Oryzias latipes: one gene and its partners. The protein of the gene in region 1 purifies or fractionates together with the protein of each later gene. This does not show direct contact. Links are inferred from orthologs where the notes say so. Each region holds a gene or a part of one and is shown in the gene's direction. Other genes may lie near its edges.

What was found.
Region 2: the proteins of pagr1 (region 1) and histone-lysine N-methyltransferase 2C purify together in Homo sapiens (affinity purification with mass spectrometry; 3 studies listed by BioGRID and IntAct, with this or other methods). This does not show direct contact. The link is inferred for Oryzias latipes from reciprocal best matches to the Homo sapiens genes PAGR1 and KMT2C.
Region 3: the proteins of pagr1 (region 1) and paxip1 purify together in Homo sapiens (affinity purification with mass spectrometry; 6 studies listed by BioGRID and IntAct, with this or other methods). This does not show direct contact. The link is inferred for Oryzias latipes from reciprocal best matches to the Homo sapiens genes PAGR1 and PAXIP1.
Region 4: the proteins of pagr1 (region 1) and ncoa6 purify together in Homo sapiens (affinity purification with mass spectrometry; 3 studies listed by BioGRID and IntAct, with this or other methods). This does not show direct contact. The link is inferred for Oryzias latipes from reciprocal best matches to the Homo sapiens genes PAGR1 and NCOA6.
Region 5: the proteins of pagr1 (region 1) and wdr5 purify together in Homo sapiens (affinity purification with mass spectrometry; 5 studies listed by BioGRID and IntAct, with this or other methods). This does not show direct contact. The link is inferred for Oryzias latipes from reciprocal best matches to the Homo sapiens genes PAGR1 and WDR5.

Annotation. Positions count from the first base shown.
Region 1 is NC_019877.2:7,653,813-7,658,467, forward strand, and holds pagr1 (PAXIP1-associated glutamate-rich protein 1), read left to right. Parts: upstream 1-1,915; 5' UTR 1,916-2,171; intron 2,172-2,422; 5' UTR 2,423-2,452; coding exon 2,453-2,624; intron 2,625-2,705; coding exon 2,706-3,033; intron 3,034-3,114; coding exon 3,115-3,203; intron 3,204-3,278; coding exon 3,279-3,514; 3' UTR 3,515-3,841; downstream 3,842-4,655. Other genes in the region: kinesin-like protein KIF22, read right to left, coding at 1-129, 883-1,010, 1,087-1,277. UniProt on the Homo sapiens protein: Its association with the histone methyltransferase MLL2/MLL3 complex is suggesting a role in epigenetic transcriptional activation. However, in association with PAXIP1/PTIP is proposed to function at least in part independently of the MLL2/MLL3 complex.
Region 2 is NC_019875.2:25,398,474-25,402,982, forward strand, and holds part of histone-lysine N-methyltransferase 2C, read left to right. Parts: coding exon 1-860; intron 861-1,137; coding exon 1,138-1,332; intron 1,333-1,766; coding exon 1,767-1,931; intron 1,932-2,017; coding exon 2,018-2,147; intron 2,148-2,232; coding exon 2,233-2,380; intron 2,381-2,456; coding exon 2,457-2,641; intron 2,642-2,767; coding exon 2,768-2,904; intron 2,905-4,483; coding exon 4,484-4,509. UniProt on the Homo sapiens protein: Histone methyltransferase that catalyzes methyl group transfer from S-adenosyl-L-methionine to the epsilon-amino group of 'Lys-4' of histone H3 (H3K4).
Region 3 is NC_019875.2:13,222,111-13,226,619, reverse strand, and holds part of paxip1 (PAX-interacting protein 1), read left to right. Parts: intron 1-143; coding exon 144-671; intron 672-2,805; coding exon 2,806-2,918; intron 2,919-4,509.
Region 4 is NC_019865.2:14,784,426-14,787,789, forward strand, and holds part of ncoa6 (nuclear receptor coactivator 6), read left to right. Parts: coding exon 1-1,339; intron 1,340-1,519; coding exon 1,520-1,567; intron 1,568-1,691; coding exon 1,692-1,722; intron 1,723-3,364. UniProt on the Homo sapiens protein: Nuclear receptor coactivator that directly binds nuclear receptors and stimulates the transcriptional activities in a hormone-dependent fashion. Coactivates expression in an agonist- and AF2-dependent manner.
Region 5 is NC_019870.2:23,024,778-23,029,852, reverse strand, and holds the start of wdr5 (WD repeat-containing protein 5), read left to right. Parts: upstream 1-2,034; 5' UTR 2,035-2,225; intron 2,226-2,861; 5' UTR 2,862-2,885; coding exon 2,886-2,966; intron 2,967-3,161; coding exon 3,162-3,270; intron 3,271-4,425; coding exon 4,426-4,499; intron 4,500-4,621; coding exon 4,622-4,711; intron 4,712-5,075. Other genes in the region: bromodomain-containing protein 3, read right to left, coding at 1,646-1,669.

The DNA of each region.
Region 1 (4,655 bases):
AGGACATGCTGATGCTGTAATCCCAGCCTTCCTCTGCATCTTTTGCATGGACCAGATTGAAGACCTCCCGTACAGCTCTGGGGATGACGCCAGGTTTTTCTGCACTGCCCAACATAGTGTGGGTCTTACCTAAGAAAGAAAAATGATTAAATAAAATGCTATACCAGGGATTAAGCAGCACTTGGGTTCTCTTGGCCACGCTGTCAAAGCCAGCCTTAGAAACTTTTTTGACACAAATATGTCGCTGGAGCAGCACTCCAAACAGCTGATCAGGAACTGTTTCTTCCAGTTGAGGAACATATCTAAGCTCAGGAACATGGTGTCATATAAAGATGTAGAACTTCTTATTCGTGCCTCTGTTTCTACACGGCTGGACTACTGTAACAGTCTGTTTCCTGTTTGAACAAGGTGGAGCTGTCGCGCCTGCAGTTGATCCAAAACTCTGCTGCGAGGATCTTGACCCCATCTCCACTATCCTCAAAACTCTTCATTGGCTCCCGATTGCTTACGGCTTTCAATAGAAAATCTTAGTTTTGACTTTTAGGGACCTCCATTGTCAAGCTCTCTCATATGTTTTTTATTTGATCGCCCCCTATAGACCATCTGCGTGTACTGAGGTCTGTGGATCAGGACTTGGTGGTGGTCTCTCGCGCACGGTTCTGGACCACAGGAGACAAATCCTTCCAGGCTGTTGCTCCTAAACTCTGGAATGAGTTCCCATTGTGTCCCTGGACTCTGATTTATTTTAAAAAGTCAACAAAAAACTTTTTCTTTTTTTACCTTTGAGGCACCCTGTGACTTCCGTTTGCGAAAGGTGCTGCATAAATAAAGAGAACTTTCTTATCCATTTTAAGAATGAATGAATGTGAGGCGTAACCTTACCAGCTCCAGTGGGCCCATAAGCAAACACGCTGGCATTCTGTCCGTTCAATACGTGGGACAAGACGGGCTTTACAGATGAGAGGAAAACCTCCTGCTGTGTCGTCTTTTCACCATGAAAAGCGTCGAAACTGGGAAGAAAAGCACGAACTTTTAATGGAAAACGCACATTCACAAAAAAAAGAATACATGTAGAGACTGACTCACTGGTATTTGACGGTTTCTGTTGCATTCCTCCAGTTGACTATTTCCAGGTTTTGCTTATCCAGGCCCCGCACGCACGGCCCTTCGCCCTTCTCGTCCTCTTTGTCTAAGTAGGGCCGAAGACGAACCGCGACTCGAACTCTTGAAATCTTCTTGTTTCCATCTGATGAAACGGTCACGCGCTGCGCCGCCATGTTGTGTTCTTCGAAAAACAAAGGCCCGAAATCAAACGAGAATCACTGCTTTAAAAGTTACCCAAGAGTCAACTTAAAGGCACTTTGACCATAAATAGAAACAAACCCGCCAAGATTAAGTTGTATTTTATTGCCTATCCAGGTTAAAACACCACATTGTTATTGTTACCAACGCCCATCATGACTAGCCAACTAGGGCACGGTAGCATTATGTTGTTATTTTCGCACACAGCTAAGGTTAACACGATTAGAACTTTTCTTTTTATAAATAAAAACTTACAAAACGATACTTACGTTTTCAAGAATCCTTTTGTGTCGTTAAAAACACACTTTTACCATGGCGCAAGTACCTCCATTTAATAATGGCGCTGGCAGCCCCGAAAACTTTCTAACCGAAAACTTTTAAATCCAAGACAGCTTCGACCGGAAACGACATTAACCAATCAGAGCTCGCGACATATTGCTTTATTAGACAGTGTCTTATTAACACATTAAATATATAATTGTAAACGTAAAATTAGAATAATATATAATACGTTACGAATTTTAACGTTCAAAGCAAAAATAAAAAAAAATATTACAAAGTCATAATTTCCCTGATGTGACTGCGCATGATAGGAAGTAGCGTCATAGCTAGATCTCTATACTGTCGACCTTCACAGTTCCCGGTTTAGCGCGCCGTGAGTGGATCATCCACATACATTTTAATCAGTTGGATTGTACAGTCTTTGCTGTAAGGCTAAAGCAAGCAGACCGTCAAGCGGTTCCTTCAGCCAAAATGGCGCTATGTTTACGTTTCTGCAGAGTCGATTGTTATACCTTCGTGACTGCATTATTCGTGGGATTTTCGTAATAAGCCTATAACCCCCAGCAACACGGATCCACAAAATATTGGTAACGATGATCTGACTTTCATTGAAAAAATGTTGTTTCTAAAGATTTGTGTGCTACATTTGACGTTAGCTTGTTAGCAAGAACTTAAGACCCAGCAAGAATTATGCCACTTTCCTTAAATTGAGCAAGTGATTATTAGAGCACGTGTGTTAACGGATCCCTAAGGATAAATCTTTTTTGTGATTTGTTTTTATTTATTTATTTTTGAATTCAACGAGAACTAAAAGGTGACTAGTTTTTGTGCTGCTCAGATTTGTGGAAGTTGAGCAGTTGAGGGAAGGATGCAGGCGGAAGCTTCAGACACCTCCCTCAGAGAGGGCATCCAGGCTTTGGACGTGGAGGATTCAGAGAAACCCGCTGCAGACACAACAGAGGACATCATCACGGACCAACAGGACACTGACAGAACAGCCGTCGCAGAAGAAGAGGACGCAGCAGCCCAGGAGGAAGCTGGTACCTGCGTTTTGGGACACGATGCAGCAGATGTTTCGGCATGTTTTGATCTGAAAGTGAACGTTTGTTCTGCTTTGTCAGAGGAGAACGCAGATGCGGCCGAAGATGCAGCTCAGACCGATCCAGCTAAAGCAGACACAGGGGTGGATGCTGAGGAGGGGAAGCAGGCTGCAGAAGAGGAGTGGGAGATTCCGTACAGCGACGAGGAGATGGAGGACGCCAAAAACTGGATGCCGCCTCCTTTGGAAATTAAAAGACTCTACGAGCTGCTGGCTAAAGGGCAGATGCTGGAACTGAACTTTGAGCCCCTCCCCAGAAGACCACCCACACCTGAACGTTCCCTTTCACCTGAGAGAGACGAAGAGGACGAGGCGGTGAAGGAAAGGGAGAGGCAAGACAGAGAGCGGAAGTCAGTAGCCCTTTTTCTTCAACTCAAACTGTCTGTATTACTTTGCTTTGAGTAGAAAATACTGTTTTGATTTTTTTTCAGGCCTCCATCTCCAACCGAGTTCGACTTCGATGAAGAGAATATGCAGACAACGCCGAAAAATGCCTTCATCAATCGACGGCGAACACCAGGTGGGAAATGCTCATCAGACTGATGTTAATGTTTCAAGATTGCAGATTTCTTAATAGTTTGATGTCGCTTTCCAGGATCCTCCGGCCGCTCGACGGTGAAAAGAGAAGCTCGTCTGGACAAAGTGCTGTCCGACATGAAGCGCCATCGCAAAATCGAGGAGCACATTAGACGAACGGGGAGGGATTTCTTTAAGAACGAGAAAAAGCTGGAGGAGGCCCTCTCCCCAAACAGTCAGAAAGAGCGGGATAAGGAGAGGGAGCGAGACAGCAACCCCAACACCATCTTCTCACCACGACAGAGGAGATACTGAAGACACAAAAGGAGAGCTTTAAAAAGGCTTTGCAGAACTCTTTTTAATGTAATGAATTGTGTTTTTGTATTTTTGCAATAATTTTTTAATCCTAGGAAATGTCAAAATGGACTCATTTCTGGGCTTTGGTGATGTTTAGCTTTGTTATAAAATACGCTCTTTTCATGCAGGTTTGCCCTGAGTCTCCATTTGTAAAAGTACTTCCTGTCAAATCTTGTTAATTCTGGATGCAGAATCGTTCAAATAAATGTTTTTTATTGACTATTAAAGTCTATGAGACCCCATAAAGTTGTAATACAGAAGAAAGGGTGTTCAAGTGCAATTTCAGCAAGCCCTTTTTGGTGTTTCTTTTTAGAGGGGTGGGGGATTGTTAAAAACAATGTTTTTTTTAATCTAAAGATTTATTTTCTTTAGAATGTTCTTGTTAAATAAAGATTTGAATGAATAAAAATGTATAGTTGTTTTTACCTAAAGAAACATTCATTTGACAAAATGAGCTGACAAATTTACATAAATATAAAACATTTTATTAGCCTGTTTAGGCCATAAAAATACGAAAATTTGGAAATTCTTACTTTTTGATGCTGTCTTACACATTGTTTAATTTTTTTGGAGATTAAACAGAAATTTTGATCTTTTAATAATTTGCTTTAAAACTTTTTTTCAATTTATCCTCAGCGGAACTCCAATAATGTCAATATTTTCCTCAATATTTATATATTTTTATTGCTTTAATAGGTGAAAAAGCACAGGTCATCAATTCTCTCCATGGCAAAACTCTGGCGCCCTCCGGTGGCCGACCTGCGTTGGAGCTTAACCCAAATCCTTTTATATTAAAACTTTTAAGCATCAAATATTTGCAATTGTAATCTAAAAAAAAAATCAAGGACTCAAGACAGGTTCAGGACAGAGAAGTATATTTTAGCTAAGTTTGAGTAACGATACAGCCTCCACATAAGGCTCAGAAGCAAAGAGTATAATATGTATGCATAAATATGCATTCAAAACCACAAACCAAATAAATAAATAAATACTTACAAATAAATAACAAGCATTTTTTGTGGAATATACAGTACATCAGTTCCAATGTTTCAATATTGTCAAGAAGCAGTATTTCATGAGGTTATGGAATCGGGGAAGG
Region 2 (4,509 bases), on another chromosome or scaffold:
TTCAGGGTGATAGGAGAGGCATGATGGGGAATGGGATGATGGCAGCTGATGTGGGGCCTGATAATGTTCCCCTTCAGGGACTTGGTTTTCCTCATGGTCATCCGCGGCCTCGTCAGTTCAGCGGACCAGGACTGATGCCAGCAGAGGGTCCGCCTTTTGATGGTGACACAGCCACACCCCTTCCATCCAACTTTCCAGGTTCGGGTCAGTCGCTCATTCAGCTGTACTCCAACATTATCCCAGACGAGAAAGGCAAAAAGAAACGGAATCGCAAGAAAAAGAAGGAGGATGACGCAGATTCAGTCAAGACGCCATCAACGCCACACTCGGACCTCACAGCCCCCCTCACACCCTGTGTCTCTGACACTTCCTCAACTCCAACAAGAAACACTCATCTTTTTGGAGAGCAGGACTTGTCGAGGTCCCCCTTACTGGGGTCGTCCACTCCCAGTCACACAGAGCTTGAGAAGCAGCTTTCTGCAGCCCAGTCTGGACCTCATGGTTTGCCCTCTGAGACGTCCAGGACCCAGGTCCAGGACCATGACAGAATACTGAGTAACATCAAACTTGAGAAGACGGAAACAACTGAGTGTCACGGGCAAAGGGAAGGATCCATCTGCTCAGACATGAGCTCCGTAAAGGAAGAGGGGAATAAAGGGGGCGTGTCCCCATTTCCTGCTGAGCAAAGTCCAAACAAGGGCGAGTCCAGCAATGAGCTACTCAAACATCTTTTAAAGAACAAGAGCACACCTCCACCTGCTCTGTCTCACCAGAGGTCAGAGGAAAGCCTTCGCTCTGAGGAGGGGGAAACCCCCGACTGCAAAAGCTTTCTGAGACAGAGCTCCATGGACAGCAGTGGGGTCAGTGTTTTTTTTTTGTTCCAGCATAGACGACTTGGAGAACTTCAATTAACGAACATAGTTCCCCAAAAAATGTAGCTCAAATGCTAAATTCATTAAATTGATGCAACTCATAGCTGTTTTAATAAGCATTTTTGTTGGAAAACTCAGCCGCTTCACAAGTCATTTTAAGTTTATCATCTTTAAAGTCCAGTTGGCCTGAAGAGCAGAATCCTGTTAGATGACTGAGAATCTTCAAAGACGGTTTATCTGTAAAACGTATTTGTTTCGTCCTCAGCAGGCATACTCCGATGGCACTTCTGACTTTCCTGGGCCTCAGCTGCCTGAACAAGAGAAGAAGAAGGGGCGGAACAAGAGACCTCCGAAAGGAGGAGAAAAACCCGCCTCGCGCTACAAGAAAAGGAAGAAAGATAGAGACGAGAGGCAGCTGATGCACTCTGGCTCGGACACAGTCATAACGCAGATCAAGCAAGTAAGACATGTTCAATGAAGTTCTTTTTCTTAATAAATCTTTAAAAAAAAATCTGATTTAGAATTACTTCACTACTTTTTGACACTTCATGAATGCTTCTCACACAATCTCTCATTAAGGTTTTTTTATTTAGGTTTGTTTTTTGAGGAATGCAATTATAAAATTATATTTATTACATGTAAGTTGTTGCTGATTATTAAATATTAATCCAAGAGCATAAAGAAAACTTCAGTTTTTATGTAAAAGTTTCCCAAATAAGTTTAGTAAAAATAGTCAAAATGGAATATAACTGTTACCCTAACCCATTTTTACTTTGACTTGTATACAAATGAATAATAAGGAAAATTAATTTTTCTATGACTGGTCGAGTAGGTGCGTCTGTCATGTTTTTTTAAAGTCTTTTATTTCTGTCTCAACTGTTTCTCTAAACACAGCAGCTCTCCTTGCTGCCGCTCATGGAGCCTCTGATTGGAGTAAACTTTGCTCACTTTGCTCCTTATGGAAGCGGGCAGCTCAATGGAGAAAACCTCCTGACTGGTACTTTCGGCAGTGCCTCGCTCGACGGAGTTTCTGATTATTACTCCCAGCTCGCCTACAAGGTGAGATGTGTTTACACCACAGGGAAGTCTGTAATCACAACAGCATCACCTTGTCTCTGACTCTGGCTTCGGTTCCTAATTTACAGCAAAGTAACTTGAGCAATCCTCCAACACCTCCGGCATCTCTTCCTCCCACTCCACCACCTGTGAGTCGGCAGAAAATGATCAATGGATTTGCTACAACTGAGGAGCTGGCCAGCAAAGCTGCTGCGATGGGTGCGCTTATTTTGAAGCCTTTAATGCTTATGAAGAAATGAATAGAATTCATGTGTCATTTATTGAAATGTTATTTTAAACGCAGTCTCCAAAGGGCTGGTGCCAAAGCCCCTGCATGTCCCCTTCAGGCCAGAGGAAGATCTTCTTGCTCGAGCCATTGCTCAGGGTCCCAAAACTGTGGATGTTCCAGCTTCCCTTCCCACCCCTCCTCACAACAACCAGGAGGAGCTCAGGTAACCCAGTGGAAACTTTTCGAAACCACATTAACGTGTTAGAAGTTGCTTCATTTGACCTTATGTTTGAAAACAGTAACAGGGGGCAGGAGGCTTGCAAGGACAGAGACACACCTGACAGCTTTGTACCATCCTCATCTCCTGAGAGCGTGGTTGGCATGGAGATCAGCCGCTACCCAGACCTGCGCCTGGTGAAGGAAGAGCCTCTTTCCCCCTGCCTGTCCCCTGCGTTCCCCCTGCTTCCTGCCCCTGATGGGAAAGGTGAACACTCTTTACCTAATTTTGTTTTAGAAACCTGTGTCAAAGATTCTCTGGTGTCCCATTGTTTATTGTAGCCTAACAGGATTGGGATCCTTTTAAACTTCAATTTCTTTTCTTATTCTTTAGGGTCAGAGATCAAACTCCAGGATATCAAGACTGAGCCGTCTTTCATGTTCTTCGGTTCTCCGCTTGGCCCCGTGTCCAGTGATTCTAAGCAAGGATTGGTGTCTGTGGCCATCACTTTGAGGCCGGCTGCAGCTGAGGTTTGGATTCAACATTCACTGAGACTGAAGCTCAAATGTAAAATACAGTGTTCCCTCGCTACATCGCACTTCACTTTTCGCTATCTCTCTGTTTTGCAGACCTTTTTCAGTGCAATTTTGCACTTTTTTTTTTTCTTTAACAGCGCACTGTTCTACATCCTGATTGGCTGTTGACTTTGTCAATCAATCTCCTCGTGCCGTGTCTCCTGTGCAGGGTCCACTCGGCTTTCCACTTTTTTCCATTTATGTAAATAAATCATCATCATTAGCATGGAGATCTTGTTTTTATACTATAACACTAGACCTATTTTTCTATGAAGGTTGGAATTTTGAGAGATTAAGATTTTTCACACTTTTCTCTGTTGTTTAATGTCTGTCTGAGAAAAGTATATAAAGTATGTAGTGACGAATTTTACAGCCTTAAAAATATCTGTTATCCTTCTTTGCGGATTTCACCTATTGCAGGTTATTTATGGAACCTAACCCCTGCAGTAATGAGGGAAAACTATAACCGCAGTCTCAAAAAAAGACATACCGAAAGTTTTTTTTGGACAGATTTAACCCAAAATTGCCAGTTAGTCCTCCTGCTCTAATTGAAAATTGTTGGCACGGTCGTTGGCAAAAAATCTGTTTGTGTTGGAGAAGAAGATGGTGTAGGTACCGTAACCATTCGGTCTGCAATAACCGTTCGGGGTCCTTCGACTAGTGCTGACGTCACCTTATGTGATTGGCTGTCCGTTGGTCCGATGACGTGTCAGATAGTGATTGGTCTGGACAAATTACGATACTACCATAGAAGAAGATATTATGCGGTCCGAACCCTTCTCCGGACCGCTCACCGTAACAAAGCACCTTCCCTGCCTGTGAACAGGAAGCTACGAGACTCCAGCTGCTCATGGATCGCTTGTGTGGAGCAGCAGGTTCATCATTCTAACAGCCACATATCTTTTTACAAAGTGGGTTGTGGCAAAATCTCTCTATAAATATTACAAAGAATAATGTCAGACACAACTTATTAGGGAAAAGAACTTTGGGTTACAAAAGGAAACGTGCAATGAAAATATGTAGAGCCCGAGCAGATCTCCACGCTACGCAGTTTGTCCAAGTGGGGTTACCATAGTGTGACGTTATCCTCAGTCGAAAGGACCCCGAACGGTTATTGCAGGCTGAATGGTTACGGTACCTACACCGATCTGCCAGTGCGTGAGGGTAACAGGTCTGACCTGACCTCAGTCACAGGCATTTATACGCAGTTAATTTTTTTAAGCCGAATCAGGCGGTGCGAAATAATTATCGACCAAATTTCAAAATCATCTTTCAACAACTAATAAACAAGAGAGGGCAAGATGCAGGAAATGAGGTCAGATGTTAAGAACATCAAAATAATGATTATGGTGGTGATTGGAACTGTAGAAGGTTAACTGAGCTGTTATCCTTTAAACTGTCACCCCGGTGAGAGTTTGATGCTGTCAGTTAGTCAAAATGAATGCACTCTTCTGCTTCTTATAAAACAAGTTTTATTCAGAGGATGCTTTGCAAAACGCAGCCTCAAATTTGTGTTTTTGACTTTGTTTCTTAGAACATCACCGGTGTGGTAGCAGCCAT
Region 3 (4,509 bases), on another chromosome or scaffold:
GTCACCCAGTAATAAAAAAAACCATCATACCTACAATAATATTGTAGCTGTCTCTGTATTTTTCACAATAGTGTGTTTATTAAATCAGAACTTCTACAGATCTATTCTGGATTAATCAGTGACTTTTTTTCTTTGTTCTATAGATAAAAACAGGAAGGATGAGGCGCTTTATCATCCCAGACTCACATATGTGGAACCAGAGGAAGAGGAGGAGAGCGAAGGGGAGTCTTCCGATATGCGCTCTCCTTCTGATGGAAGCTACAGCCCCCGGCGATCGCGACCATCCAGTGGTGGTTCCTCCGGAGAGGAGTCCAGCCCTCGCCGTCGCCCGGGACCTAAACGACTGAACTCTGTGTCACCACCATCTCCTCGCAAACCGGAGCGTCGCAGCGAGCGGATGTTCGACGATTCTGACGATGACTCGCCAACCGAGAAGGAGGGCACCAACTTGAACTGGACTCCGGCGGAAGTTGTCACTCCCACAGCTCCAGTTTCAACTGGCACAGCCAGGCGGCGAACCGGCCCACCTGGTATCAGGGATCTGGCTTCGTCTGCGGGGAGTGGCCTCATCAACCTGTGTTCCACTGTGCCTTCTGTAGCAGGGAGCGAAGGAGCAACAACTGCAAAGACCGGCTCTGCCGCCGCTGCCATCAATCAGTCCACGCAGCAAGGTCAGTAAAGCCCCGCCTCTGATGACTGTTTCCATCCTGTATTTGTGTTTTCAGCATATATATGAATTTTTCCCAAGTTTACCTATTTAGAAGATGACATGTTTTTGTTTCAGATAAATATTTTGATTGACAGTAATGCTTTTTGGGGTATATTGGTGTTGGAAGCCCAATTGACCTTTGATCTCTTGCAGTCTGTATGTTCAAAGATGTCATAGGCGACACTCGAATAATACACGCTCTTTGATGTACATCTGTCCCCTACGAGATCCCCACTGACTGTCTTTCCAGAAAAACTTTCCATCCCATAACAGACTCTGGTCGGCGTTCACAGCTTCAGACACGCCCCCTCCGCGCGTTCACGCTGCCCTCTTCCTCCTGCCCGCTCGCACTACCTGATGGTGTTGAAGGCACCACAGCAATCTTGGAACATGGTGGTTATTTTACCAAACCACGGAGAGCCGCTACACAGGGATGATAGAGCCGCATGCATCTCCGGTGCCGCCGGTTGCCGACCCCTGGTTTATGGGATGAAGGCGAATCAGCCGATTCTGACGCCCAGAAAAGCGGCTTTTCATATCGGCTTTGCACAAATAAATGACGCAAGGCTGCTTTCCTCCATGACAGAATTACTTGATTTATGTTGATCTCGGAAGCACTTCATTACCATAGGGTGTGGCATTTTTCTCCTCTTTGGAATCCGTTGGTATTGTATTAATGGCGTCAACGGATGTAGAGTTACAGACGTAGAAAGAATGTGAACCAGAGCTCCAGTGTAAAAGGGTTCATGTCAGTCATATGGAGAGCAAGCAATCAATGCATCAAAAATGCAAGCTTTACTGAATAAATAGTTCCAGGAAGAAAAATATCTAGATTTTTACGGCATGCTCTTTGAGTCCACATCCTTCATTCACCATGGCAACCGTAAAACCTGTTGTACAACAGCCAATAAGCAGCGCAAACCTGCAATGACCAGGAAATCGTACAATTGATAAATATTTGATGTATTGTGATCCTCCATGAATGATTGATTTCAAAGATGAGATGATAAAAATACATATGTTTGTAAAATCTATTTCAGATATTCATTCATAACTTAATGAAAATGAATAGCAAAGGATGCTATCTTCTTGACATTATAATTGCTCTCTTTTTTTAATAATTATTTTAATCATTTTGATAATAGTTCTAATAATATTTTTATTAATTAGTTTTAATAAAAATTGTTAATAATTTGATATGAATGTCCTTTTTGATGTTATATTATATATATTATTTCTGAATGTCGTTGTTGCTGCTGCAGATAAATGAAATTTCCCCATCGTGGGATTAATAAAGTCATCTATAAACACAATAGCACACAAGACTAGGGTGTGACGAAATATGGGTCTGAATGTTCATATTAATAATTAAAGTACATCATTGTGAATTTTTAATTCCACTGAGGCTATTTGATATACATTTTAGTTCATAATTGGAGCTTTGTTCATTAGTTATCATTAAGTGTATGTTTTTATTACAAAGACACAGCAGTATTTATTGATCATTTTATTTTACTGTTGCAAAGGATGGTTAAATTCATATATTGTGTTTTAAATTGTTTAAAAAAAAGGTTTCATCGAAAATAAAGATATATTTGTTTATATAATAGTGGTATATTAGATGATCAAGGTAACATTGATAATTGCAATATGAAATTGTGATCCATGTATGGTGAATCACGTCGTATCGAGAGTCACCCTGAGATTCCCTTCCCTGCACATGATGCATTGAATCCATTAAATATGATCCCCCAATAGAGTTTAAGTACTTAAATAAGGTTTTGTGAGTCATGTGACCGACAGCAACACAATACTTTTGCATTTATAATGGAGAAGCCAGAATTACACCACAAAAGTGGCCTTTTAATCTGAAAGTTCATAATTGTTGCTAAATTTGCTAAAAGATTTTAAGGATTTGTCACAGCTACAACCCTTTATTTTAAGCCATATTGAATTTGTTTTAATAGTTGTGATTGTGACGCCCCTCTTCTATAGGGATAGATGAAAATGTAATCCTTTGGTGATGGCGTGGCTCTATTCTGAGAACGCTTGCATAGGATTGAATTTCTTTTCCACCTTTCATTTGTTTTCTGTAGGTGTACCGGTTCCTGAAGGCATTCCTGGATGGAGTACGGCCATGATAACCCTCTGCAACATCACCAATGCCTCTGATGTGCAGACTGCCAACCGACCACCCAACGTCGCTCATGTAAAAAGCTTCTTCACACACACTTACTGCTGCCCATCTCCATCTATCTCCTCTGTGGTTAATCCTTCTAATGCAGTTGGGAGGACTCTGAGTTCAGTTTTTGGTATTTGCCAAGGGTGTGTTTGTCAATGAACGTTGTCGTGACGATGGATGAGATTATCCACCTTGAAGAGTGACATGATGCCTGAAGAATGGAGTAAAAGTGTATTTTGAAAAACAAGAGGGACGTTCTGAGTTGTGGAAACAGAGGAATAAGCTGATGAGTCGCATAAAGAAGTTATTAGGAGTAGTGGAAACTAGACTGAAGTCAGACATGAACATTTATGATCAACAATATGGCTTCAGGCAAAAGAAGACAACAGATGCGATGGAAGTCTGGAGTGGCAGGAAAGTATCTATCAGAGGAACAGCTCATGATGGATGCTATGGAGGTGGATGCCAGCAAACAGATTGAGATCTGTGGGCATGTTGAGAGGAGGATCAGTAGTTCTGTTGGTAAAAGGTGATAAGACTGGAGTGATATGTGGGAAAAGAAAGAAGGTTCATGGATGTAATGGAGGACATGACGGGGGTTGATGTCGGGGGAGGGTGGATAGAAATGGATGGAGGCTGTTGATTCACTGTGGCGACCACTAAAGGGAGCAGCAGGAAAGTCAAGAAGAATCATTCTGACCACTTTGGTTTAGTAAACAAATGAGTAATTCACGATCAGGATTTAGATTTGGTGTTCTATGGTGATGGGTTTCAGTGACCTGCACTTCATAACCATCATTCAATGACTGCAGCTGAAAAAAACAGTTTTTGAATCCCAGCCTGGCAAAACGTTTGCTCCACAGGGTTTGATCAGGCCTTAAGTTCATGGTTGTCAGTAAAAAGGCCTTTAAAGCTAAGGCTACATGGGGGTGTCGTGGTTAGCTCTCTTGCCTCACAGCAGAACGCCCTGCTTGAAATTCCAGCTGGACTTGGCATACTCTCCTCGTCCACGTGTGGGATTTCTGCGGGGACTCCAGCTCCGTCCCTCTGTCCAAACACATGATCCATAGATAAATTGGTGATTCAAAATTGTCCCCAAGTGTGAATGTGTGGACCTGAAATAGACTGACGACCTGCTCAGCATAAACCCCCCTTCACTCAACAGCAGCTGGGATAGGCTCCAGCAACCCACTGACCCTGAAAGGAATGCATTGGGATCTGAAAATGAATGAATGGATGGATGGGCTTTTAAAACTAGGGATGGGTATTGTTAAGATTCGATCAATACTACTCCTCTTATCAATGTGGCATCAATCCGGTATTCTTATTGATACTTTTCTACGTGAAAAACAGGAGGGAGAAGACAAATAACAAACCATGTACATGAAAACCATTTAACATTGCATGTCGGATACTTTATTGTTACAGATTATACTGTTATAATTTTACACCTTATAGATCATATTATAAGGTATTATTATTATGGTCTGCGTCTGCATCAAAATTGACAGTAAATGCTGTCGTTGTTTGTAAACTTGGCTGAATCTGAACCTGAAGTACTTTTATTTAACACTAAACTTGAGTATTACTAACTTTATAAATGGCATTAACTTCTGAC
Region 4 (3,364 bases), on another chromosome or scaffold:
CCTTGTACAGTCACTTCCAGTCATAACAGTTCTGCCTCAGCTATAAATGCTAGTTCCAACTCAAGCACTGCTCTAAACCCGCCCAGCTCTGCTCTTAAACCGAGCCCAAGTCCCAAACCCATGTCTAGCGTTCATTCTGTCATACAGATCCCTGCGTCTTCAACCACCATTTCCTCCAACCAGATTACAGTGTTTGTCACCTCCAATCCTATAACTTCTACCCCCACATCGATGGTGTCCACCATGATGGCTGCTGCCAACAAAAACTCAAGATCTCAGGATATCCGACAGCAGAGTCCTGGCCCTCGACCACCTCAGTTTATCACCACAACCCCAGTATTTATTAATCCAATATTCCAGGTTCCTGGCTCCTCTGTGGCTCCTAATAACTCAGTAGTATCTCAGTCAGTCACCATGGTAGGGTCTATCCAAATGCCTACTGGAAGCATCCAACTTTCTCCTGCCCTAAATTCCACACAGCCATCAGGGGTTAATATAGCTCCCTCTCAGCCCAATAGAACGCTTGCTGGACAGGTTCAGGTAGCTACTAATGCAGTATCCACAACTCCAGTTGGTGCTATCCTAGCTTCTCACCAAACCAACCCAGGAGCAACAAAAGCAGAAAGTCAAAATGAGACCACTTTGTCTCAGAAATCTAATCCTGCACTCTGGAAACCTCCACCCCACTCAAGCGCTACAACATCATCCCCATTTCAGACACCTTTGTCCACACCTCCCTGTTCCAGTTCTGGAACTGTTGGCAGTTTCCGTAAGAGCCCCATATCACCATCTCCTCCTACCCAAGCAAAAGGTAAATCTGGACCAGCTCCTGTTTCCAGCACTGGTGAGTCTCTTCAGGGTTTTATGGGGGCTGGGCCACCACAGGTGTTTCTTCCACCTGCTAGTCTAGCTACCCCGACTGAAGCACGATCACCCAATACTACTGCCAGTACCACAAACAATCCTTTGCCTGTAGAATCTTCACCGGTCCCAGTTTCTACCCAGGTTTCTGTTCCTAATCAGACTCTTGGCCCTACTTCTCTGCTTCCTACGACATCGCTCCCAAACTCAACTGTAAATTCTCAAGCTCCTATGCCAACTGTAGTTGGTACTAGTCCAGGAGTCTCATCTGCTGCCTTGCTATCAACGGTTACTCTTGTGCAAAGTACTGTACCATCTGTTGTTCCAATTGTTGCTGCACCTGGATCTGCTGAGGCGACTCATACATCACCAGTTGCTGATCCCAGCAGAGTCCTGTCGGTGCAGTCAGACCCTTCAACAGCTGAGCCGTCCACGCCACAAGCTGCAGTATCTGCTGAAGCAACTCGGATCAGCCCTGGTAAGAACTTTTAAGCATGTTCCAAGTCAGAGCAAATGTTATTTAAATATTAAAAAGGTACAACTAAATTACTTCATAAAACCAATTAATTACATTTCTATACATACTTTTTTGCTTCACAAACATTTGAGATTTTGCAATTTTCTTAGCTGTGCTATTATCTTTTCCATTCACCTTCAGCCCTACAACAAGACATTCTACAAGAACCTGTTTCCTCTGAGAAGATGGGTAATTATCTTTCTTTTATTGCTAATGAAATAAAAAACATTGACCAAATAACCATCTACAGATCAACAAAAAACCTTGACCTATCTGGCATACAAATGTTTTTGTCTTTGTGTTTTATTTTTAGGTGACGAAGCAACAACAGGCTCTGAGCAACCGTAAGATCTCTAACAGAATCTTTTCTGTTTTGTTTTCTTGCTCTGAGATTTTGATAGGTGACTATTTAATCCCTTACACACCAAACGTTTGTCATGACGTCAAATCGTGTCATGTCATATTACTTCTTATAACTGTTAATTTATGGGGGGAAAATGGCCTATCCTATACTTTTGAAGTGTATTGCGTTGACCTGATGACAAATTTCAACAGGGTTTGATTACTTGTAGCCACACAACACAACTTTTGGGCACCTTTTAAAAATCAGCAAGAATGAATAATAGAAAAAAAGAATCTTTTTAATCATTTTTCCTTCTTGTCAGCTCTGCAGGTTCACTTATCTTCTATGTTTATTTGTTGTGCTGAACAGCAAATCAAAGGAGTACCATGAAATTTAACAGGGAAGAGTCAATACTGTGCTCTAAAAAAAAAATAATACAAGTGATGTTTAAACTTGGTTTGGTGTATAGGGGCAATTATTTTTGACTTTTGACAGGATGATTTGTAAAAGCTTTGCACTGCAAATGCTTGAGGTAGTATCATATTTTATTTATTACTAAGGGCAGATGGACATCATGCAGATAGAAATAATGTTTTCTTCTAACCGTTTCTGTTAGCAGTTTTGTTTTTGTGATTTGTGTTTTGAAGCCTGAAACTTTTTGGCAGACTGAAGTTATTTTATTTACCAGTGACCCAGGATCAAACTGTTTCTGATCTGCGGGGGTTGTACCTTTCAAATGGGGGGATGATGTGGACCTGTGGTTAGAACTGATGTGGTACAGGCTTATTTTAACTCATTTCTTCCTCATCAGGTAATTTTGGTGGCAAAAGTCCATTTCAGTTGACCTTAGTTCACTAGAAGCTAAATTTCTAAAGACCCATTCCAATAATCTTTTGATCAATTGTAAAAGCATCCTTTAATTATAAAATTGTCATTTTCTTGGACAGCAGTAGTTCATTAGAAATTTGCTTCTGAGATGTTGGCAGGACCGTTGGCGCAGAGCATTCCCCTCACTATTTTCTGTTTCACAAATTAGCTCTTTTTTAATGCAGATTTTTATGTCTGCCACTGCTTTACAGTGATTGAAATAAAGACACACAGAAGTACAATTTTAATCTTATTATTCTTTATATATGTCCTCATCAGAAAATTGCCACAAGAATTTTAAAAACACCAAAAAGCAAGTTTTTTCATCTGAAAGGGTCTTTTAAATTAATTTTAAAGCCTCGCAGTGAATGATTTTTGATTTTTATTACTGTTACAAATTAATGTTAGCACAACTTCAACAGTGTAAACACAGAAACCAGATAACCAAGTGCTTTATTTATGTAACTGTTTGATAGCACCTTGTATGGCTTCAATTTAGTGGAGTCAGTTGTCTGGTTAGGGAAACGCTTTGAGTTATGTTTATACTTGACTCTCAGTGTTATGTTGATGTCTAACAAGAAGGTAAGGTAGCTGTTACTTCAGAATCTAAGTAACAAAATACATTCAGCACCATAATAATGTTTAACCTTCCATTCACAAAAGATTCGGTTGGAGTAATATTTAAGCAAAGCTGTATTAACCATACATATCATATTTTCTGTTAATGTTGCTTCTTATTGTTTTGCACCTCTATAGAAGGAATTAGGTTTGTTTTG
Region 5 (5,075 bases), on another chromosome or scaffold:
AGTTTTACTATTTTAGAGTGATTTGGGGTGACTGGGTTCAATAACTTCAAAACTATTGAAGAGAAAGGCAAACACACTAAAAAATTAACTAAAACTGAGAAAAAAACCAAAAAAAACTTAAAAGCTAATCTAAACAGATGTCCCTCAATAGTGGCTAATTTTGTTATTTTGGAGTAAAACAAATTAAGTTATTTAATTTAATAACTTTTAATAACTTTTAACGTTTAATAACTTAAAGCTATTGAAGAAAAGTGCAAAACGTTAGACTAAGAAATTTACTAAAATTAGAAAAAGCATCAAAAGCTAATGTGAGCTGCTGTCTCCAATATTGGTCAATCCGTTTTACTATTCTAGAGAGATCTGGCGTGATTGGGTTCAATAAATTAAAAGCTATTGCAGAAAAACACAAAATTTGACACTAAAAAAACTCGAAAGCTTATCTAAATAGCTGTCACTGATAGTGGTTAATCTGTTTTATTCTCTAGAGGGATTTGGGTCCAATGACTTAAAAGCTTTAGAAGAATTTTTATATCGTATGAATATATAGCTAACTTTACCTCTGTGACAATTCACAGATATTCCTCCAGAATTGTAAACTTACAGCTTAATATATTCATTTATGTAGTAAACTTATAAGTACATAATTGTTTAGTTATCTCAGCCCTTGATATTTTATGCTTTTTTAATTCATCCTTAATATAATAATGAATGTTGTAATCTATTACTGTTTTGTTTGTTTTTTAATGTTTCCACTATGCAGAAGATCAAAAAACGCAAAATGTAATAAAAATTAAAACAACCACAAATAAAAAGTGAATTTTGGAGTAATTAACCAACTTAAAAATGTAAACATGGGAAGCTACAGCTCCATGAAAGCAAACCAAAACCACTGCAGCAGATTCCCTCCTTCACATTCCTCAGAAAGGGTCTTTAAGAACTGCAGAACGTGCCAGGCGGAAGTGGGCGGACGTGACAAAAACCGCGTGTTTTATCACTTTAACCCACAAGAACCCCTGTTGTTGTTGGACACGCGCGAGGAATGCCTTCTACTGGATACTGAAATGCTTCACGTGTGCACGAACTCTCAAAGTTTTACTCAGTTAAATAAGGGCTTTGTATCCTAGCAGATGGAGGCGTAGTCCCCAAAACGTTACTTCCAACAACTATTGTAAAAAATTATTTGTCAAACCACACAGACTTCCTGAAGAGACAATGCAAATGAATACCAATATTTTCTTCGAGGTCAAGAAACGTCCAACGTGTTAGCTATCATAATTAGCTAGTCTGTGCACAAATGAAATGTTTTTCTTGCCTGGTGGTGAACGAAAATCCTTTATTTCTTTAACTCTGCAACACCTAAAAATGCTGCTATAAAATGTTATTGAAAAAAAAGTCTGACTTTTTTATTTTAACTAGTCATAATATATATCAGGTATTTAAGCAATTTAAAAAAATCACCTAAGTTTTCTTTTTAATCCGTTTCGAGAAAAAACTCCGATCATCATCTAACGGGAAGGGAGGGTAGCGGCAAGTTGTTTACCAACTCGTATTGTTAAATTGGAATAAAAGTTCAAGCAATGCTCCTCTTCAAAAACAGTAAAACTTTACACCGAAGCTTGAACAGAAAAGTATGCGCTTCAAGTACCTCCACGGCGAAGTCAGTCACCATCTGCTAACTTCCTCTCCCGACCTGCTGCACCTACATGGCTGGCAATTCAATTCGTGTCTATTTGTCTGGGCACGTCAGCCCAGAAGTCAAAGGGGAATACTGCCATCTAGTGTTCTGGAGTGTCCACTGTTTTCATTTGGCAAAAAACGCAAATATTTTGCACTGACATATTTTTCTTTTGATAATACTATTATCAAAAGAGAATTATATATTTTGCTTCACTTAACTTTTTTTCTGGTAAATTGAAATATTAATTGCAAAATGTTTACGTCTTAAGGGAAAACTGCATTTTGTGACGTTTATTCTAACTCGTGCCATCGATACTTGATCCTCACAGGTTTCCGTTACTTCTGTGTGTGACGCGCCTGCGCATTGCACTGGCACACTACATTCCCTCGTTTCTTCGTTGGTTTTCTCGCAGCCAAACGTATACAAGGAGGCAGGTAGATTAGTTTTTTGTAAGTTTAGGATCATATTACGAAAAAACAGACTGGTTTTAATCGTGTTTTCTTCGGTGGAGGAAAAAAATCTGGAGGTGAATCTGTAAAACGTTTCTGTAAGTATGAGCGTTTGCGTAAATCTTCATTGTCTGAGGAGTAGAGGGCCGCTTTTGTGGCAGGTTGTCAATAGCTAAAAACAAGTGACCGCATGTACATAGTGCTGATAGTTTTCCTGAACATCTAGCACTTTATATTTTTTAACGTCTATTTCATATCCATTTGAACATGCAACGCGTCTTTTTTTCAAGTACAAATATATAAAGTCTGTCTGAAGTTGCGCCAAAGGAAGGTATTCCGCGTCGCTTTTGTTATATGATGCTGTTTTCACCTATTATTTCTTTATGGTAAACATTTTGACGTTAAAAATGTGGAAGCTGACTTTAATGTACATCAAATGCCACTTCGCGATGTTTTTGTTTTGCCAGTTAAGAAAAAAGAGTTTTTATACGTCAGCGTACCGAAGCTAACTGAGCTAGCTAAAATTTTTAGCCATCGAGCTAATTTGTAAACGCTTAATTTAGCCAATACGGCTATACAATCTACATTGCAATTGTATGCATCAACTTTACCTTTTAATAAACAAAATATTTCTACAACACGTTAAACTATAAACGAGAGTATAATAAATTTGACGAAGGGGCTGTGCAAGCATGTAATTTGAAATACTTGTGTGCTCTTCTGTCTCCTTGCAGTGCTCAGTAGATGCTATTTTTTTCATGATGGCAACCGAAGACAAGAAACCAGAGACTGACACAAAACCTCCAGTTGTGCAGTCAGCATCTGCAAGCCAAAGCAAGGTCTGGATATAAGAAAATGACTGAGTACTCTGGGCCGTGTTCTTGTGCAACTGCAGCTTTGCATCAATTGTTTCTTTTGTTTTCCAATTAATACAAGATTAAATGGTGAACAATGCATTTTGGTTTTTGTTTTAGCAGAGTTGATATGTACTTCTTTTCTATCTTACCAATGGCATTAAATGTGCCCCCCCACAGTCTGCGCCTGCAAAGCCAAACTACAGCCTGAAGTTCACGTTAGCAGGACACACCAAAGCCGTGTCTTCTGTCAAATTCAGTCCAAGTGGAGAATGGCTCGCCAGCTCATGTGAGTTCATCCTCCTCTGTGTGGCTTTTAAGCAATGAATGTCTCAAAATGTACTCAACATGAAACCATTATATTGGTTGATGTTGACCCTGTTCAAAGGGAGTTTACTCAATGAAAAAAAAAAACTATGTAGAGTTTACAAAATGTTAACATTTAGGAATCTAAACAAGAGGCCGTCAGCTCTCATCTACCTGCCCAGCTGTTGGACAGGACAAGTAAAAAAAAAAAGAGAGAGAAAAAAAACAAACATTTAGGAATCTTGAGTTTATTTCAAATGATTTTTCGGATTAATTGTTAGAACAAAACATGTGAAGTAGTTATGTACATATATATTTTTTTACTAAAGCCACTTTAGTAGTGTTATTCCTTTCTGCCCCTTTGGCTTTTTGCCCTGACGTTGGACTTTAAAAGGCCCATTTCACCATGGTGTCATATTTTGTTCCATTCTCCGATCCGCCTCCAGAGTTAGTCTCAGAGATGAAATAGGTGGGTGAAAGGGTAAGACAATGCCAGGGCTGTAACCAGCATCCAAATACTTGGAAATCTTTCTATCTTTTCAAGAACAATGTTTGGGCATATTTGTTGTCTTTATAAATATAGTAGAATATAGTACAAATAAACTTCACGCATTGTAATTATCACTCTAAATCAGCAGAATAATGTTGGAATTCGAGGATATAAACTGACAGATATCAGCTAAAGATGGTAAAGTGTGACAGTTTCATGCTGAAACTGATGATGATTTATTTTCTGAACCAACAGTGTTTAGTTTTGTTGGGAAAACCAAAAAATAGAAACTTATAAAGTGCTGTTCACTGATGCTCCAATATCCCATAATCCATCCAACTAACATACGTCACTGTGCCTCTGTGCTGTGGAGGTGGGGAACACGTTGAACTAAGAAGTTAACATTCACTGAGGCCCCCAGCCCCAAAATGAACTTGTCAAGGAGAAATAATCAGAGAAAACTAGAACCAAATTAGAATTAAACGTAGAATGTTCTAATCTAGTAAATATAGTTTTCTGTTTATCAGATGTATTAAACTTGTCATTTGGATCAATTTGTATGCTGTGTTACATTTGTGTGTAGTGTTGGCTTCATAATTGATGTGATGACAGTAATTCATAGATTTGACTGATGTTCTCTTGTTCCAGCTGCTGATAAACTCATCAAGATCTGGGGAGCGTATGATGGCAAGTTTGAGAAAACCATATCTGGACACAAACTTGTGAGTAAAACTGTACTCTGATATTGCTCTGATATGTTCTCTGGATTTCCTGTGGGAGGAATAGATTTTAGAAGCGCCCTTCTCCTTCTTATGTGTCTGAACTATTTCCCATGATCCTGCAGGGCATCTCTGATGTGGCCTGGTCCTCTGATTCCAACCTGCTGGTGTCTGCATCAGACGACAAAACCCTGAAAATCTGGGATGTCAACTCGGTAAGAAGGTTCTGCACTTGTTCTAGGAGCCAAAACGTATTTTTTTGGCACTTATTCTTGTTTACCCTTTAATTTAGTATATTTCCCCTTTTTAATTTCCTAAGTAATGACATCTGGGTAAAAGGTTGTACAAGCATTCACTCACCTTCACTCAGGATGGCAGAGAAGAGGCATCTTGGACTGTTCATTTTTGTTAACAGCTATTTTTGCTGCTTTCATGCCACTTTATTGCTGCCATTTTTTTGGAGTCACCCTTTTCTTAATCAGATTCATCCACTCGTATAAAGTAAACACAGTTGGAGACGGCTGCTTTAGCCTATGAATGTCTTGAGTGTTAGATGACATTGTTTATATGATGCTTTGC